5 linked regions of the Mus musculus genome follow. The protein of the gene in region 3 interacts with the protein of the main gene of each other region in a pairwise test. Links are inferred from orthologs where the notes say so. Each region holds a gene or a part of one and is shown on either strand. Other genes may lie near its edges.

What was found.
Region 1: the proteins of Tnfaip1 (region 3) and Polr1c interact in binary tests that used the Homo sapiens proteins (3 or more experiments, as listed by UniProt). The link is inferred for Mus musculus from reciprocal best matches to the Homo sapiens genes TNFAIP1 and POLR1C.
Region 2: the proteins of Tnfaip1 (region 3) and Exosc5 interact in binary tests that used the Homo sapiens proteins (3 or more experiments, as listed by UniProt). The two-hybrid records come from large-scale screens. The link is inferred for Mus musculus from reciprocal best matches to the Homo sapiens genes TNFAIP1 and EXOSC5.
Region 4: the proteins of Tnfaip1 (region 3) and Zmynd19 interact in binary tests that used the Homo sapiens proteins (3 or more experiments, as listed by UniProt). The two-hybrid records come from large-scale screens. The link is inferred for Mus musculus from reciprocal best matches to the Homo sapiens genes TNFAIP1 and ZMYND19.
Region 5: the proteins of Tnfaip1 (region 3) and Armc7 interact in binary tests that used the Homo sapiens proteins (3 or more experiments, as listed by UniProt). The link is inferred for Mus musculus from reciprocal best matches to the Homo sapiens genes TNFAIP1 and ARMC7.

The regions. Positions count from the first base shown.
Region 1 is NC_000083.6:46,245,232-46,249,241, forward strand, and holds the start of Polr1c (DNA-directed RNA polymerases I and III subunit RPAC1), read right to left. Parts: upstream 2,815-4,010; 5' UTR 2,733-2,814; coding exon 2,664-2,732; intron 2,570-2,663; coding exon 2,498-2,569; intron 984-2,497; coding exon 876-983; intron 518-875; coding exon 385-517; intron 1-384. Other genes in the region: protein YIPF3, read left to right, coding at 3,017-3,097, 3,610-3,807, 3,948-4,010. UniProt on the Homo sapiens protein: DNA-dependent RNA polymerase catalyzes the transcription of DNA into RNA using the four ribonucleoside triphosphates as substrates.
Region 2 is NC_000073.6:25,657,747-25,661,954, reverse strand, and holds the start of Exosc5 (exosome complex component RRP46), read right to left. Parts: upstream 2,803-4,208; 5' UTR 2,720-2,802; coding exon 2,572-2,719; intron 1-2,571. Other genes in the region: Bckdha (2-oxoisovalerate dehydrogenase subunit alpha, mitochondrial), read left to right, coding at 3,215-3,322. UniProt on the Homo sapiens protein: Non-catalytic component of the RNA exosome complex which has 3'->5' exoribonuclease activity and participates in a multitude of cellular RNA processing and degradation events.
Region 3 is NC_000077.6:78,529,748-78,533,263, forward strand, and holds part of Tnfaip1 (BTB/POZ domain-containing adapter for CUL3-mediated RhoA degradation protein 2), read right to left. Parts: intron 601-3,516; 5' UTR 486-600; coding exon 281-485; intron 1-280. UniProt on the Homo sapiens protein: Substrate-specific adapter of a BCR (BTB-CUL3-RBX1) E3 ubiquitin-protein ligase complex involved in regulation of cytoskeleton structure.
Region 4 is NC_000068.7:24,952,777-24,956,276, reverse strand, and holds part of Zmynd19 (zinc finger MYND domain-containing protein 19), read right to left. Parts: intron 3,042-3,500; coding exon 2,901-3,041; intron 1-2,900. UniProt on the Homo sapiens protein: May be involved as a regulatory molecule in GPR24/MCH-R1 signaling.
Region 5 is NC_000077.6:115,474,388-115,478,480, reverse strand, and holds the start of Armc7 (armadillo repeat-containing protein 7), read right to left. Parts: upstream 2,815-4,093; 5' UTR 2,545-2,814; coding exon 2,454-2,544; intron 2,360-2,453; coding exon 2,216-2,359; intron 1-2,215. UniProt on the Homo sapiens protein: As a component of the minor spliceosome, involved in the splicing of U12-type introns in pre-mRNAs.

The sequences.
Region 1 (4,010 bases), on a different chromosome or scaffold from region 3:
CAGGCTGGCCTTGAACTCAGGACACATCTGCCTGCCTCTGCCAGTGCTTGGAGTAAAGCTGTCCACCACCGTGCCTGGCCATATCAACTCTAATACCAGGCTGACAAGAAGGCTCACAGAGTGAGGGTGCATGCTTGCTCCAACCTGAAGACCCAAGTTCAATCCCCAGGAAGAATGTAAAGGTGGAGAGAGCCTGAGTGCTGCTAGCGCTGTGTTCCGAGGGTGTACACAGTGAGACTAGAGGTGGGGTGGGGACAGCTGTTCTCCCAGGCGAAGGCAGATGTACAAGATGCCAACTAAAGCCCCAGCAGTAGGCCTGGGACCTGAGCCCATGCATTCCAGGTCAGTTCTGCCTAACTCATAATCCCAAGCTCTCAGCCTCACCTTGGTTCCGATATTCAAAGAGACGAGGATCAGCGAGGATGGGGATGAGCCCCAGGCGGTGAGCAAGGATCTCATCCTGGACTATGGACGTGTTGTTATACACCAAGACCTTCTCCACGGCCATTGTCGGCACCTGCCCAAGGAGGCAAAGCAGACAACTGACCTCCACCCATCCCCCTGCCTGGAAAAGGAAGAGGCAGCACTTTTTCATTTTGCCCTTCAGATTCTTTTTTTTTTTTTTGGTTTTTTGAGACAGGGTTTCTCTGTATAGCCCTGGCTGGCCTGGAACTCAGAGATCCACCTGCCTCTGCCTCCCGAGTGCTGGGGTGCTGGGACTAAAGGCGTGTGGCTCAGATTCTTGATACAATGTTTACTATGTAGCCCAGACTGTCATAGGTGTGAACCACCCTACCTGCCCCAGAGGGATGGCTTTGAGAAAAGCGTCTACAAATTGATACAATTTCTACCCTCCAGCCCACGTCCTCTAATACCTCAGCTAACAGGATTCTCCGGAAAGCATTGGCGATGGCAGCATCAATCCCCACCATGTCGAACTCCAGCGTGTCTTCATCCATTTGCACCACGTCCACACGGAAATTCTAGAAGGAGGGAAGCTCCTGCATGACTCCTGCCTGGCTCCTACCCTGCACTATCCCCTCACCCTAAAGTCATGGTGCTCAGTAGACATTTTGTCTCCAGTCCTGTTCTTGGGGGCAAGGCTGTGTGTTTCTTGTTTTTTAGGTTTTTCCAAGGCCAGGTTTCTCCATGTAGTCCTGGCTGTCCTGGAACTCTGTAGACCAGGCTGGCCTCAAACTCAAAAGATCCACCTACCTCTGCCTACCAAGTACTGGGATTAAAGGTGTGCGCCACTATGCCCAATCTTCCCAGATTTTCCACAAACCACCCAGAGAAGTTACTATACAAAAAGCAGAACTTCCCACACTACTTAGACCGTTTGATACTTGCATGTCTGTTGTCGTTATTTTTTAATACCTACTTTTCTCAACTACATTCCCTTGGATTTTGAACACCAATTTCCTTATCTGCTCTTCTTTCTAAATTTCCCCTTCCACCCACACAGTAAACGTTCCTGTCTCCTAGGTTCTAATCCCCTGGCTGACCTCCACCATGCTCCTGGCTCAAGCAAGCACATAGACTTCACAAGCAGGCACCTGAGTGTACCCTCATTCTTGTTCTCCTGCTTGGCAAACGACACAGCCAGCAACAGTTCCCCAGTGCCACTGGAGAAATGGCTCAGCTATTAAGAGCACTTAACTGCCCTTGCAGAAGAACTGGGTTTGGTTCCCAGCACCTGGTGGGACCTAACATTCTCCTCACACTGCAGGGATCACTAACACACAGTGGTGCACAAATACACATGCAGGCAAACACGCATATCAAGAAAGTTTTAGGGTCCTCAAGTTACAAAGTCCTTTCTCTCACACACTGCCTCCCCAGAGCACTGGTGCAAATCGTCTAGTTCTCCCTGCCTTACTCCGTTAGTACTGTCTGGAGTTCATCTATGCCCCCAATTTCAGCCTGCATACACTAGCTGGCAGATTCACCAGAATTCATTCCCTCCTGGCTATCAAGATTGCAAAATGTTATCAGTCTACTCAAAAATTCTAAATTGGGCGTGGTGGCTCATGCCTTTAATCCCAGTGCATGGGAGGCAGAGACAGAAGCAGGTAGATGGCTGAGTTCAAGTCCAGCCTGGACTATAGAGAGAGTGCCAGGGCTAAACAGAAACAGTTTCAAAGTGAATTTTAAAAAAATCATATATAATGAAGCTCCAATCAGGCCTTCACTACTCAACTTTTATTCATAGTTCAAAGCTTAATTCAAATGCCATTCCCTTCACTGACCTTTAACTACGTCCCTTCAGTTAGCTGGATTCAGTGCATCAATGATTCCTGACCATATCCCAGCCATCTTCACCGCTATCTTACTATTCTGGAATAACTTGTCTGTGTGGTCCATTATCCCACCGAGAGCAACCACCGTGTCTGACCCGTCCATGGAGCTCAAGCGTGTTGTATGGAAACAGCGACCCCCACCCCAACCTGCGAGGTCTGGCCCCTCGGGCCGACTGGGCACCTTCAGCTCTACCCACCTTCTCGAAGCGGTTCTGGTCCCAGGCATCATCATAACCGGCGTAGTTACCGGGAAAGTCCGTGGTGTGGACCTAGAGCCAACAGAAAGGGCAGTGTGGCCAGCCTTCACACCAGGCCTCTACTTCCCCGTGCCGCCCTCATCCTTCCCGCGCCCCGATCTCTTACATTGCGAACCCCAAACTCTCCGAGAACCACGCGAGTCCGCATCTCCTCCACCGCCTGAGCCGCCGCCATCTTCCGCCACTCGCTGTAAAAGGAGGCGAGTCCGCGCCTGCGTCTCCGCAGCAACGCTCGGGCTCCCGCAATCTTGAATGTCGCGAGATCTTGCCCCGCCTCTGTCCACGTCCTTCACTTCCGGACGTCAAGTGGGGCCAAACATCCGGGTTTCTCCCTTCGGCGTCCCGGCGGATCCCCACCTTGCCCGGGCGGTCGCCCCTCTGAACCTCTCCCTCCCTCGGACCCGGGTCGCACGCTCTTCCCACGCGCGCGTGCTCCAGCGACGGGAAGCCTCGAGGGACATGGCGACTCCGGCGGCGCCGGCCAGCGGCGTCCGAAATGGTGCTGGCCCGGAATGGGGAGGCTTCGAAGAAAACATCCAGGTATGGAGCGCGCCTGCTGCCAGCAGCCCCGGGCTGGCGGCGTCCGGACGGTGGCTGCTGTTCTCTCTCGCGGGGCCTAGAGGTCGGCTCCGCTGAAACGCAGCCTGTCCCCTTTGAGTCTTCCCGGGGAAGGGTGTAGCTCTTGTGCTGGCGTGAAAGGGACAAACTAGGGCTCCCGCGGGCCTCGGCTCTCTGTGGGGGCTGGAGGCTAGGATCCACTGGCACCCCCTAAAAATAGGCTTGTTTGAGAATTGGGAATGGCAGATGGGCTCTTTTGCAACTCTTTGGAGCTTTGAGGTGGAAAGTAGGAAAACAACGTGGATTGAAAATAAATAGTAGGGTTTCCAGGACCACAAAAGTGACGCGACCAAGAGTTGCCACCACTGAAAGAGTGGCAGTTCCAAGCCATGTCCTCGGCAGTGGAAGATCAAAGCCTCAAGTTGTCAGCTGAGCGGAGAACGGGGAGGATGCAATGGAAGGGCCCCTCACTCTCCGAGCCGTTGTCTTCACAGGGTGGGGGTTCGGCTGTGATTGATATGGAGAACATGGACGATACCTCAGGCTCCAGCTTCGAGGACATGGGTGAGCTGCACCAGCGCCTGCGGGAGGAAGAAGTAGATGCTGATGCAGCTGCTGCAGAAGAAGAGGATGGGGAGTTTCTTGGCATGAAAGGCTTTAAAGGACAACTGAGCCGGCAGGTAGCAGATCAGGTAAGCCAATGGGGAAAAAAAAAAGGACCTATGCATGTCCTAAATTGATCGAGGTTTTCCACTTAGACCCACACGTAAATCTCGCCGAGACTGAATAACAATCTAGAGCCAAGAGTCTCATCATACCCATTTCCCTTCAGATGTGGCAGGCAGGGAAGAGACAGGCTTCCAGGGCCTTCAGCTTGTATGCCAACATTGACATC
Region 2 (4,208 bases), on a different chromosome or scaffold from region 3:
TCTATATGGTCAAAGCTGGCCCTGACCATGCTATCTATGTAGCTAAGGGAGCAGGGCACGAACTGTTGTTCCTCTGGCCTCTACCAGCCCTCCCTCCCCCCGTACTGGGATTAGGGGTTTTGTACCATCAGGTGTTTTTGGTTTGTTTGTTTGTTTTTGCCTTTAAGGTAAGCTACTGTGCCGGCTAGTTGCTTCTTTTGCTTTGCATTTTGTCAACTTAGCCATACCTGGAAAGAGGAAACTCAAATGAGGAATTGCCTCCATCAGACTGGCCTGCAGGCAGGTCTGTGGGGGCATTTTCTTTTTCTTGAGACAGGGTCTTGCTGCATGATCCTGTAGGGCATTTTAGTGATCAACAACTGATATAGAAGGGCCCCCACTCACTGTGGGCAGCGCCACCACTGGGCAGGTGGTCCTAGGTTATCTATGAAAGCAGGCTGAACAAGCCATGAAAAGCCAGGTTCTGCCACGTTGATTCTGGTTATGTCCTTGTCACAGCAAGAGACTCCTAGTGAGGACAAATGTCAAGTAATAGGGATATTGTGTCATTATCATACATACACATCATTTGCACTGCTTGCCTGCCGCAGCCACAGCCCCCTCCATCGGGTGTTCTTACAGGAGCCTTTGAGGTCAGAAGTGTCTGCAACATTCTTTTTGAAAGTCTGCCAAGTCTCCAGCTTGCACTAGGGCCCTGTGAGTTTAGGGTTTTAGAACATGGGAAGGTTCCCTCTCTATTTCTTATATCCCAAGAGATAGGGGAGGCTGATTTCAGCAATGAGCTAAGCTGAGAGCCAGCCTGGGATGAGAACACTAAACATCTGTGGGTGCTTCTCCAATGAAACCAGAGGTAACCCAATAGACTCAGGTGCTTACTAGAGCTACATTCCTGTACTGCTAGATAGACTGTGCTCTCAGCGAGCAAGGGAGTCTCTTTCTTCCCACCATCTCGATGATGTGGCTGCAGAAATTCTCTTCTTTTCCCCCTAGTATTTATTTTACTTTTTAAGTTATGTGTGTGTGTGTGTGTGTGTGTGTGTGTGTGTGTGTGTATAGTTCCCTGCAGAGGCCATAACAGGGCTTCCAATATCCTGGCTCCCCACAAGTTACAAGTGCTTGAAAGCTGCCTGAATGGGTGCTGGGAACTCAACTTTGTTCTCTGTAAGAGAAACCATTTCTCCAGCCCCGAGCTGTCTCCCCTTTTTTTTTTTCCCCAAGACAGGGTTTCCTGGCTGTCCTGGAACTCCCTCTATAGACCAGGCTGGCCTCAAACTCATAGAGACCCTGCATCTGTGTCTCAAGTGCTGGGACTAACGGTGTGTGCCACCACTGACCTGCCAGTTTTCTCCTTTCTTAAGCTCTATCAGTCGTCAGCTCTTGCCCCATCTATCTGATTCCTTCGCAGGAAAATGCCTGGAGACTTGTCTCAACTGTTTTTTTTCTCGCTCTTTCTGACCCACCACTATAAGCAATGACCTCTAGCTTATTAGCCATAAGGTGATCAGCCTTTAACATCTCAAACAAACTCACCATTGTCAACTCTGTCTCTGCCCTCTCATCTGTCTACTCTGGTAGTTTCTCACCCTCTCATGACCTCTCAAAGTTGGCTGGCCCGACTGGGATATAGGGTTGTGTGGGTCTCAGCCACAAGACTTCTCTTTTCTCCCTATTCATTTAGTCTGATGAAATGTGTATACCAAGGAAAGGCACGTTTTCTTAAATGATGGGACCGGGGAAGGGGAGATGCTTCTCAGCCCAGGATGGGAAGATCACATTTAATTTGAAGAGCACTTACTTAGATGTATCATCTGCCACAGTAATTATATTTAAACCAGTGGTGGTGATGTGTCTGTCTCAAAGGGTATTTATGCAAATAAACACCTTAGCCTCAACCGGTGATGTATGGATCTAGAAGTGTTTTTTAAGAAATCTAGTCAAAGCCAGGCGTGGTGGCGCACGCCTTTAATCCCAGCACTCGGGAGGCAGAAGCAGGCGGATTTCTGAGTTCAAGGCCAGCCTGGTCTACAAAGTGAGTTCAACAACAAAGTGAAAACAACAACAACAACAACAACAACAAAAACCCAAGAAATCTAGTCAAGGGGAGCTGGAGAGATGGCTCAGTGGTTATGAGCACTGACTGCTCTTCCAAAGGTCCTGAGTTGAATTCCCAGCAACCACATGGTGGCTCACAGCCATCTGTAACGGGATCTGATGCCCTCTTCTGGTGTGTCTGAAGACAGCTACAGTGCTCTTATATAAATAAAATAAGTCTTGAAAGAAAGATAAAAGAAAGAAAGAAATCTAGAGAAGGGTAATATCTGCCTTGGTGAAATACCTATTCTGGGATAGTCACTCTTATGAGAGTGGTCTTGCTCTCGATCTCCTCTGAGAGGGATTTACCAGGCTGGCCAACTCATTTCTTCTCGAGACGGGAGGTGGGTATACTCAACATCTAGAAATAAGTTCAAGGAGGCGGGCGTACTTGGTTACATACTACACAGTAACCGCTCTTCAAAAACCCTTCTTCGGTGAGGATGGCGCGCGCTGAGTTAAACTTGGTGAGGCTCGTACCTTGAAGAAAAGAAGCAGATCCATCCGGCCGGGACAGCAGGTTTTGCTCACAAGCAAAGTGCCGGAGACTGCAGACTGGACTTCGGGGGCTGGACTCTGTTCCGGTGTCAGTGAGTAAATTGGCGTCTGCACGCTTTGCGCCCTCCATAGCCGCTGACCACGCGCGCTGCGGCTCCCACCGTAGCTTCCGCTTAGCGGCGCGCGCAGTTCTACCGGCCGCGTACCTATTGCGCATGCGCCCGTCTAGGGCACGCCCGAGTTGGCCCTAGCACGTGGCTCAGCGTTTACTAACAATCTGGTCCCGCCCACCTCCACCTCCCAATTCTGGCATAGCCATTGGACAACAGGGAACAGGGGGAGGGACTTGGAGAGGGCCCATTTTGCTCAGGGCTCCGGGTCCTGAACCCTGAAGGTTCAAGTTAAGTTGTCCTTTTAGTTGCCTGAATTAGGAGCAACTAGAAGCAGACGACCGGAGCAATTTTAGAGACTAAAAATTGCCACCTTACTCATTTATGCGTCTTTGTCGCAAGGTGGTTAGAAGCAGATAGCGTGTTGGCCTAGCGGTGCTGCTATTTGAATAAGGCATCTGGTGGGACAGCCGTATGTCTATCCTGTGAGAAAGGAGGAGTGGTTATTAGCCAAGATGGCGATAGTGATGTCTGCGGCCAAGATCTGGAGGCCGAGCCGTGGCCTGCGCCAGGCTGCTCTTCTCCTGTTGGGACGATCTGGGGTTCGGGGCTTGGCTAGATCTGTGAGTATCTGAGCCCCACGGGGTCTTTCTTAGGGAGAAATAGAGACGTAAAAGTTATTCTTACATTGTGTGAGACACCGCGGGCTGTGAAGGAAAGAAAGAAAAGGTCCGAGAAACTTCTTGAAGAGAAATTCAAGGGAAGAATCCCTTTAGAGGAAAAGCAAGGCAGCTACTTGTGGGCCTCGATAGAAGGAGACGAGACGGGGGTTGAAAGGACAGATCAGGTTTTCATAGGGTCCTACATTGCTTAAATTCCAACTGTAAAGGGAGTTGAGCAAGAAACTGGTTTGATTCCTATGCCACCTGATCAAAAGGCAAGGCAAGGGACTTTGCCATGACTGTCCTTTACACAAGATGATTATGAAGGGAGACAAAGAGAGCTACAAGTTCAAACAGGACCCTTTGCCCACGTTATTTTTTTGAGACAGGATCTCACCCACGAGTCCGGAATGGCCTTTAGCTCACCCAGATGCTTAGACAGGCATCGAACTGGAGATAGTCCTGTCCCAGCCTCCCAAGTACTGGCATTACAGATGTAAGCTACGGTGCTTGGCTGCCCACTTTTCTTGAAAACACTGGAGAAAACTCGGAATTCCCTTTTGATCCATTGTTGATAAGGGCAGGATAACACTTCCAAAATCTGTTGCGGTCTGGCAATGTACCACCACAGTGTAGAATGCTTGCCTAGCACGCGCCACGTCCAGAGTTTGGCTCCTAGCCCTGTGTGTTTGTTTATCTGGATATGGCGACACATGTCTGTAATTTCAGCGCTTGGGAAGTAGGAGAGGAGGCATTTGAGGCCAGGTTGAGTTACGTGAGACCCTATCTCAAAAAAAAAAAAAAAAGATTTTTAAAAATGGTTTACTTATTTTTATTTCACGTGCAT
Region 3 (3,516 bases):
TTCATTATGTAGTGGACACTGGCCTCAAATTTCTGCTCCTCCTGTCCCCACCTCTAAGTGCTAGGGTTACAGATGTAACCACACCCAGCCTAAGTATGATACACAAGCATACAGTTTTCTATGTGCAATCTCAAGGAATTCTGAGGCTCTGTTAGAACTTGTATGGGGGAGGAAAAGATATATATTCTAGATCTATTGGGTCAAGCCCAGCCTTGGAGTCAGCTCAAGATGCTCCCTTCCTCCTCTCCCTTACCCAGCATGCCCGCATGCAATGGCTCACCTTCTTTGTCAGTCAGCACCTCCATTCGCCCACTGAACATGGCCTTGAGCATGGTGTCGTGCCGGGTGAGGGCCCGCACTGTGGTGTAGTACAGGGAGCCTCCCACATTGAGCTGCACGTACTTGTTGCCCAGCCCGCCTCCCTTGAAGCCACTGATCTTGGGCTTGGCCCCCGAGGCTGGACACAGACAGGTGTCCCCTGACATCTCCCGCTGCAGGTAGATCACCACACGGCAGGAGGTAGGCTTAGAAGGTTCTGCCGTGGTGGAAGTGATCACGAGTGAGTGGCCCTCAGAGGCCAGGGCCTCATACTCTCAGTGCCTGTAAGCAAGAGGTAGAGAGAACACTAAAGTCAGCAGAGAGGTCACAGGGAGGAGGGACAGCAGAGGGAACTCTGACACAGTTTACTTTGTAGAGAAGCCCTTCCTCACTGTACGAGTTAGATTCTTGTCAACTTGACACAAGCTAACATCACCTGGGAGGAGACCCTCGCTTGAGAAAATGCCTCTATCATACTGGCCTGGAAGCAAGTCTCTGGGAGCATTCTCTTGATTAATAATTGATGAGGGGCAGAGATTGGGGGGAACCATCCCGGGGAAGGTAGTTCTGGGTGGCATACGAAGGCATTCTAGGGGCCGGAGAGATGGCTCAGCCCTTAAAGGATAGGCTCACAACCAAAAATATAACAAGTCACGCCGGCAAGCCAGTAAGCAGTACCCCTCTGTGGCCTCGGCTTCAGTCCCTACCCCCGGGTTCCTGTCGCCAGGTTCCTTTCCCCATTTCCCTTAAGGAAGAACTGTGACCTGGGAAGTCTAAGCCGAGTAAACTCTTTCCTCCCCAAGTTGCTTTTGGTCACAGTGTTTTATCACACCAGTAGAATGCAAACTCGGACAGTGGGCAACAGGAAGAATGCCCCGCACGCTGTTCTCACGGTACCAGGAGCCAGGTCTGGGATCACAGTCTCCCTGTGGTGTGGGCATCTCACCAGCTCCTCTAGGATCAGCTCTGCTTCCGGCTGCAGGGAAAAACCCTTCAAACTAGCTAAGGGTCGGATGAGCAGATCTCCCTGGGATCTACCAGAATGGCTCCAGAAAATGTTTTTCCAAGATTCCCAGGATTCCAGGCGTCCAGACTAACCAACTGGGAATCTAGCCAGCCTCGGATTTTCCCAGGAGCCAGGGGGACAGGATACACTTCCTGTCTCAGGAATAGCCCCCTCCAGGATTCAGGTTATCATTAGTCAAAGGAAGCCAGGATCCAGGAAGGAAAGTGAGTGTGGTTCTAAGAGCACGGGGAGAGCCGCTGTAGGGGCAGCCGGCCAGGGAGCTTGGCAGGAGTTACCTGAGCTGCCCCCTTCTCAGCCCCAGCCCTGCCCCAGGTTCCTGTAACTGTCACCTTTCTCAAGGCACAGCAGACAGGGCTGTTGTGCTGCTTTCCCCCAAGAGCCCTTTTTCTTCCTTCCCATCAAGAATGGGGGGAGCCGGGCGTGGTGGCGCACGCCTTTAGTCCCAGCACTCGGGAGGCAGAGGCAGGTGGATTTCTGAGTTCGAGGCCAGCCTGGTCTACAGAGTGAGTTCCAGGACAGCCAGGGCTACACAGAAAAACCCTGTCTCGAAAAAAAGAATGGGGGGAACAGACACAATGACCCTAAAAATGAGTAAGCTCAAAACTGAAAGGAAAACACTAACAGTTCAGAGACCCGAGAAATGACTAAAGGAAAAGCTGGTGCTCGTTCCTCGTTTGCTTTCAGTTATTTTTCTTTTTTGGTTTTTCAAGATACAGGTTCTCTGTGTGGCCCTGGCTGTCCTGGAACTCACTTTGTAGACCAGGCTGGCCTCGAACTCAGAAATCCGCCTGCCTCTGCCTCCCAAGTTCTGGGATTAAAGGCGTGCTCCACCACTGCCCGGCTCTTATTCTGTTTTTATTGCTGCTATTTACATTCTTAATTCTAAACCTGTAGATGGAAAGAAGTTTGAATGTAAAAAAAAACATTAAGTCCTAGCTGGGCATGGTGGTGCACACCTTTAGATCCAGCACCAGGGAGGCAGAGGCAGGCAGAACTCTGTGAGTTCTAGGCCAGCCTCATCTACAGAGGGAATTCCAAGACAGCCAGTTACATAGTGAGACCCTGTCTCAAAAAAATACAATAAATAAATAAATAAAAGCTGGGTGAGGTAGTGTAATCCTAGCACTTGGGAGACAGAGCAGGTAAATCTCTCGAGTTGAGGCCAGCCTGGTCTACAGAGGGAGTTCCTGGACAGTTAAGACTATACAGATCTCTATCAAAAATGAACAAAAGATTGAATTTTCACTGAAAGTATAGAGACTTACCGTGGTTGCCACCCCTAAACAGCACAGTATAAAAATTATTTATATCACACTTCATACATTTACAGTATTAGTATTATTAAATAAGCCAGAGATAATAGAAGGAATTCAGGAGGGTGTGTATAGATTATATGTAAATATACAGCATTTAATGTCATAAAGAACTTGAGCATTCTCAGATTTTGGTATTTGCAAAAAACCTAGAGTTGGGGCTGGAGAGATGGCTCAGAGGTTAAGAGCATTGACTGCTCTTCCGAAGGTCCTGAGTTCAAATCCCAGCAACCACATGGTGGCTCACAACCAACTGTAATGAGATTGGATGCCCTCTTCTGGAGCGTCTGACAGCTACAGTGTACTTACATATAATAAATAAATAAATAAATCTATCTTTAAAAAAGAAAACAACCTAGAGTCAATGCCACACAGACATGAAGGGATAATTGGATGATGATGGCATTTTTTTGAGATGTCTATGATGTTGCATTGGATGTTCTAGACCTTGATATATAGACTAAGCTGATCTCAAACTCAGTGATCCACCTGCCTCTGCCTCCTGAGTGCCGTGATTAAATGACAGTGCCACTGCTCCTGTCTGTAATCTTTTGGCTTATCCAAACTACCACTAACCAGGCCAAGGATGGTGGCTCACATCTATAATCCAGCACTTGGAAGTCTGAGGCAGTCTGGACTACAGAGACGCCATCACAAGGTTAAAAAAAAGGAAGAAGACTAAGCTGTACCTTAATTGGCAGAATGCTTGTCTAGCATGCATGAGGCTCTGGGTTTGATTCCCAGCAGCATATAAACTACATGTGATGGCCCATGCCTATACTCCAAGCATAGGATGATGGAGGCAGGCAGACCAGGTATCTCAGCTACCAAGAGTACAAGTGGCTCTGCCTGAAAAAC
Region 4 (3,500 bases), on a different chromosome or scaffold from region 3:
TTTGGTGTGTCTGAAGACAGCAACAGTGTACTGACACACACACACACATATATATATATAATATAAATAAATAAAACCTTTTTTTTTTTTAAGATGAGCAGTCAGTGCTCTTAACCACTGAGCCATCTCTCCATGCCTGGCTCATAAATAAATTCTTAAAAACAAAATGTTGAAAGAAGCCAGGTGGTGGTGGCACACACCTTTCCTCCCAGCACTTGGGAGGCAGAAGCAGGTGGACTTCTGAGTTCAAGGCCAGCCTGGTCTACAAAGTGAGTTCCAGGACAGCCAGGGCTACACAGAGAAACTCTGTCTCGAAAAAAAACAAAACAAAACAATACAAAAAAAAAAAAAAAAATCAACTGAGAAATTAACCCCATCGGACTGGCTTGTGTGTATGTCTGTGGAGCATTTTCTGGATTAATATAGGAGGGACCAAATCATTGTGGGCAGTACCACTCTTAAGACAAGTTGGTCTGGATTGTGTAAGAAAGCAAACTGAGCAAGCAATGGAGAGAACACCAATAAACAGTGCTCCCAAGTGGTCTCTGGTTTAGTTCCTGCTTCCAGACTCCTGCTTGAATTTCTGCTCTTAATTCTCTCAACAATAGATTGTGACATTGCTTTTGGTCATGGTATTTTATCATACTAACAGAAACCTAACTAGGACAGCCCTAAACTGACTGCTGGTTGCTCACAGGTGAGCGCAGCAGACTGTGTGGGACTTTGGAGAGGCATAGCTGATTTCTCCACAGGAGCTGCTTAATTGAGCCTTATGAATAACGCACTCTCCCTCACAAGTACTGGCCATCCTCCTCTGACACAAATGCCCACAGTACCAAGCACTTCCCTCCCAACACACACATTCATTATCCCCATCTTCTACTTCCCCTTACATTGGCATACCAGACATGCTCATGGATCCTGGTCCAATCTGGTCCTGCCTCTGCTAGTAAAAGGTATGTACTACTACCTACCTGAAGGGCACAGCCTCCACCAAACTTATCTCTGAAAACTGGCTGAGAAAAGGTCCAACAGGCCACCTGACCAAACACCTCAGCCCTCTACCCCTAGAACTGTAACTGCCCCTTTCTGAATAGGCTTTAACTGTGGTCCTATCATGATCATAAGGTGTGTTCAGGAGACTAAATAGAGCATTCAGCACAGGACCCTACTGAATAGGATGTCTGCCTCACAGGAGGAAGGGCAACATCAGTCTCAGTTTCTCAGCTACACAGCAAGTTGAGGTCAGCCCAAGATATACAAATCTCAAAAGAAAGATGGAAGAAAGGATGGACAGACAGGAGTGGTGAAAACAGAACTGAAGACTCAAAACCTCTGACATCAGGTAGACAACAAAGGAAGGAGATGAGAGGTCTGAGACCCTCCTAGGGCTGCCTTCACATTCTGCCAGAGTAAAGCAGCTTGGCACCTGTCTTCTAAAGACCTGGAGACCAGCACTATCAAGTACAGACACATACTCGCACATCTCCTCCCTACAGTACATGGGGCACTAGCATCACCTGAAGACATTCACTACAAACATCTACCCACTGTCTGTAATGACAACCTTGTCAATACTATTAGTATCCGTTGAGGTGGTAAATGCCAAAGAAGGTTGCTTAAAGACTTAAGAACTAGACGGGCGTGGTGGCGCACACCTTTAATCCCAGCGCTCGAAAGGCAGAGGCAGACGGATTTCTGAGTTTGAGGCCAGCCTGGTCTACAAAGTGAGTACAGCCAGGGCTATACAGAAAAACCCTGTCTCAGGAAAAAAAAAAAAAAAGACTTAAGAACTTGTATACAGGGCTGGCGAGATGGCTCAGTGGTTAAGAGCACCGACTGAGCTGGGCGTGGTGGCGCACGCCTTTAATCCCAGCACTCGGGAGGCAGAGGCAGGTGGATTTCTGAGTTCGAGGCCAGCGTAGTCTACAGAGTGAGTTCCAGGACAGCCAGGGCTATACAGAAAAACCCTGTCTCAAAAAAACCAAACAAGCAAACAAAGAACTTGTATATAGCCAGGCAGTGGTGGTGCATGCTGTTAATCCTAGCACTTGGGAGGCAGAGGCAGGTGGATTTCTGAGTTCAAGGCCAGCGTGGTCTACAGAGTGAGTTCCTGGACAGCCAAGGCTACACAGAGAAACCCTGTCTCGAAAAACCAAAATAAAAAAAAAAAAAAAAAAAAAAAAAAGCTATTTGTACAGATACTTCCAGGCGCCCTCAGGGGACGCCTATGAGCAGAACAATGATACCTGTGTGGCTTGGGACTATGAGGTCAAATTTCCCTAATCATTTCCTGCTGGTCCCTCCAGCACCTCTCCAGGGCTTCCTGAAATTCACTGTGGTGAGTTTGAGGGTTAGTAGGAACATGGCCTCCAGGATAGAAAAGCTTGTACAATGCTGTTTTCAGGACCACAGGGAACTGAGAAGCCAAGAGGTCACATCCCTAAACTACACTGTCCTACTACTTCCTCTGCTCAGGGAAAGCTATTCACCAAAGGAGACCCACCCTGTCTCAGTGTGGTCCTGGGGCATGGTCTCATTCCATCACATCAGCTAAAATATTCTTAGAGTCAATTACTACAAGGTCAATCCCAAAAATTAATCATAAAAATCCTTCTGGCTAAGCATGGAGGTATATATGCATCTTTAATCCTAGCACAGGGGAGGCAGGAGGAGGACTGCTGATTTCAAAGTCTGGTATTCATAGCAAGTCCTAAACAGCAAGGGCTACCTACATAAATGAAAGATTCTTCCCTTTCCCATGAAGAAGAATTCTCACACATGGCCAGTGGTGGGTTGGGTATCAAGGTACCGAAGCACTCATAGTAAAAGCACAAAACAGGAACACAGAAACATGGGACAGCCCTTCAAGTATCAGGTGCTGACCAGAGAAGACCCACCTTTGTTTGCTGGAGGTCTCTTCAGCTTTGGGTCGCCAGCCCCATGGTACCAGCTGCAGGTTGTCCAGGCGATTGTCCACAGTCACAGCATTGAGATGTACCACCTGAAACCCGGGAGCCACACCTCCCCTGTGTCGTTCCCTAGGGAAAGACATTTTTCTTGAGGGTGAGGCCTCAAGCACCTCTATTCAAGCATCAATACCCAGCCACACAGGAATACCAGTTATCTGGTCAGAACTGGGCCCATATTCTGAAGTGGCATACCAGGAGGAAGCCAAGCACATCATCATGGCCCACACAGACAGGGAACTTGCCTCAGAGGACAATAGAGAGAACCCTCAAACCAACAAAATTATCTAGAGTTAAGTTTCCCATTTGGATACCAACATTTCAAACCACCTTACCCATCTATGATCAATGACCCCGTTTCTAAGGATGTAACCTATGACTCACCAGAAGGATCCATGGGTCTCATCTCATCAAAATCCCACTAGTTGTTTAAAGTGATATGTACATTAGTCACTCCTTTGGGTTAGTGGCAAAGCTCACAAACTCCCAGACTTAAAGAAGATAACGTTAGTCTGACTACTTTGGGTAGAA
Region 5 (4,093 bases), about 37 Mb from region 3:
ATCCGCCTCTTCACTTAAAATATCCCTAACACATCGGCCTCCCTCTAACACATCAGCCTCCCTCTAACACATCAGCTTCCCTCTAACACATCAGCTTCCCCTCTAACACATCAGCTTCCCTCTAACACATCAGCTTCCCCTCTAACACATCGGCCTCCCTCTAACACATCAGCTTCCCTCTAACACATCAGCTTCCCCTCTAACACATCAGCTTCCCTCTAACACATCAGCTTCCCCTCTAACACATCGGCCTCCCTCTAACACATCGGCCTCCCTCTAACACTTCAGCTTCCCCTCTAACACATCAGCCTCCCTCTAACACATCAGCCTCCCTCTAACACATCAGCTTCCCCTCTAACACATCAGCCTCCCCTCTAACACATCGGCCTCCCTCTAACACATCGGCCTCCCTCTAACACATCGGCCTCCCTCTAACACATCAGCTTCCCCTCTAACACATCAGCTTCCCCTCTAACACATCGGCCTCCCTCTAACACATCAGCCTCCCTCTAACACATCAGCTTCCCTCTAACACATCAGCTTCCCCTCTAACACATCGGCCTCCCTCTAACACATCAGCTTCCCCTCTAACACATCAGCTTCCCTCTAACACATCGGCCTCCCTCTAACACATCGGCCTCCCTCTAACACATCAGCTTCCCCTCTAACACATCAGCTTCCCTCTAACACATCGGCTTCCCTCTAACACATCGGCCTCCCTCTAACACATCGGCCTCCCTCTAACACATCAGCTTCCCCTCTAACACATCAGCTTCCCTCTAACACATCGGCCTCCCTCTAACACATCAGCTTCCCTCTAACACATCAGCTTCCCTCTAACAGCTTCCTGCTTAGCTGCTTTGTCTACATCGCATATCCAAGATGGCTGAAATGGAAGTAGCGTAAGTAGCGTGACACACCTCCTATGGCTCCATCTGAGTTCCTGTTTATCTCTACTTTGCTTGTTTTATTCGCCACCTAGCTCCCCTTCCAGAATACAATCCCCAACCTGTTCACCATCTCCTCAGAACCTGGGCCAGTACCTTCCTTATAGGGTGCCCAATAATGACTATCTATCATGGGGCAGAGGAGATGGCTTAGTAGGTAAAAGAGCTTGCCACACAATTCTGATGACCTGAATTCGGTTCCAGGGACCTACATAAGAAAACCAGATGCAGTGTCGAGCATCTGGAACCCCAGCACTCTCTCCCCATTAGCTGGAGGCTCACGGCCCAGCTATGGAGTGCACTGCCCTACTCTGAAGGCACAGAGATCTTCCCTTAGCAACTGGAAGAGGAGAACACAACAACAACGACTACCTTAGTTTTTAGAGACGACATCTTACCACATAGCCCTAGATGGTCCAGAACTCAGTACTCACGCTAGGCTGGCCTGGAACTCGGAAAGATCTACCTACCTCTGTCTTCCCAGTACTGGGGATGAAAGGCATGTACCACTGTACTCGGGGAGAACTGACTCTTGACAAATTTCATGCATACAGCCTGGTGCACATGCATACTCACACTCATCCACACACACATGCAAACACACACCTACACAGCAAATGTAAAAGAGTCTACCTTGAATAATTCAAACGGCCTTACAATAACCCAACTATAGGAGTTCTAAGCTACCTTTGCACCTCTTGACAGTAAACAATACAAGGGCAAGCTCCAGCCGGGCAGTGGTGGCGCACACCTTTAATCCCAGCATTTGGGAGGCAGAGAGGCAGGCAGATTTCTGAGTTCAAGGCCAGCCTGGTCTACAGAGTGAGTTCCAGAATAGCCAGGGCTACACAGAGAAATCCTGTCTCAAAAAAATCAAAATCAAGCAAACAAACAAACAAAAAACTAAACTTCTTTCAAAGAGGTTTCACCCCATTTCCTCACTTATTATCTCTTTTCTAAGAGGAAGAAAGACACGACTTGTTTGGAATGAGCTGTGACCCCGATAATGTGTGGAGGAGGAGAAGGTAGGTGGTCCACACACGGCAGCTCTGCCCTAGATGAGATCCCATCCCAAACACTAGTTTGTTTAGTGACAGTGTCTTACTCTGAATCCCAGGCTGGCCCCCAAGTCGCAACCATCCTCCTGCTTCAGCCTCCCGTAATGCTAGTTTTATAGGCGAGTGGCATGCCTGACTCTCAAGTCGCTCTAGTCTATAACTTGGGGGGAGGCGCGCGGGCACGGGGGTTGGGGGCAGCCTAACTCTTACCAATAGCAAACTTGATTAGGGTTTCATTCTCTTCCGACAGAGAATCAAGGAATAAGTCCAGGACTTGTAGTTGCCGTAGGTACTGGTAGTTGCCCGGGTCATAAGCGAAGTTGGCGAGGTTGGCGAGGACTTGCTCCTTGGCATCTGCAATGGGAAGCAGCCCTGGGGTCGGACCTGTGCGGCGGCGGCTGCCGTCAGAACCCTCCTGGGTCCCTCGTGCCCACGCTACACCTCTTACCTTGGCTCTCGGTTTCCTGGAACTCTGTGACCAGCGCCTGCAAGTAGCCTAGCCGCCCGACGTGGGGGTCTATCTTGGGTTTCTGTGCCATGGCTGGGGCGGCGGAGTTGGGAGCTCCGGTAGAGGCCACAAGGCCTGGATCCTGACCTGTCCCGGCGGCGACAGAGCGGCAGCAAACCCAGTCTTGTCCTGAGATCCGCGTCTGCAGCTGGGGATGAGCTGTGGGGGTGGCCAGGGGTCTCAGGATCCTGTCTGAGCCGGATCTGAAAACCAAAATTCAACCCGGGCGAGACGCTGTGGCTTTTCGGAACTGAAGGCAGGCACGCCCCCTTACCACACTCCCTGCACCGCTTCCTGGTTCAGGGCGGAAGTCTCTCTAGCCCCGCCCCAGGAAACGGAGTGAGCGGGACCAGGACGGGATTGGGCGTGGTTACTGGGCGCCTCCTGGGCTTCCCTCCGGATTTCTAGAGCTGGAGGCTTTAACCCTCCACTGCGCAGCCGCCGCAGCGGGGATGCGTCGAAGGAGAGAGGAAGGGAGAGGGGAGGGAAAGAGGAGAAAAGGAGAGAGAGAATGGTGGATGGATTGACAGCCGGGCAGACGGATCTTCAGGCCATCTAGACATGATAGTAGTTTAATCCCAGAACACGGAGTTTAAGGACGGTTTAGTCTACAAGGCAATCCAGAGCTACATGGCAAGACCCTGGTAACAAAACAGAACATCCATCAAACCCCAAACACAATCTTAGGGTCACAAGGAGCGTCAGGGAGGGGCCCAGCTTTGCCGTGCTGTGGTGGAGGTGGAGGATGGAGGCAGTAAGGGTTTTTAGGGCAAGGGTCAGGGGTCATGTACTATGTTTGGTACCAGGGACCTGAATCACAGCAGAATGGTTTGTGTACTTCACCTTTCCCTGGCCCCCACCTCTGGGGTTTAAGTTCCAGTGATCAATCCATGCCCAACATCAACCAAGAGCAAGAGTTTTAGTCTTAGTTTGGATGCTTGAGAACCAAGGTTGCTCCGTGAGAACTCTGTGCCCTTTAGGTTTTATAAGAAGCAGGCTAGGCAGACTTCTTACATCTCAGCTCAAGATGGCCAAGCGTCTGACTAGTCAGAACATCAAAGACCTGGGGACCTGGAGCCTTTGAGATTCCAGAACAAATACTTTGCAGACTCCCCTCAAAATTTTCCAGGGATGGTCCAAAGCAGATCCTGGCTACAAAAGAGTAGACTTTGCTTCCATCTTGTCTCCAAGCCCCAGGCTCCAAAGAACTGGGATTACAGCACACCTGGGCATGGGTGGGGCTGGAGATGGAAGTGAAGGTTTGATGTACGTGACTAAACTACATTTGCACCCTCATTTCTTCGTTGCTTATTGCCCTCAGATTAATGCCATTATTACCAACGGGCAAGTGTGATGAAAATTTCCTAGCTGGAGGATCACAGATTCTATTTTTCCTGGACGTGGGCCTGTTAGCCAGCCCCAACTCTGTTTTCTGTTAGAATGAAAAATAGGTCCCTGGCATTTGCCCTTCAGAGTAGAAACTTCCTTGGGGGGTGGGGGTGGGGTCAAGCTCAGTTCTGAGTTGCGATCCGGAAAGCAGTAGGGGACATTAGACAGAGAGGCAGACTTCAATTGGAAGA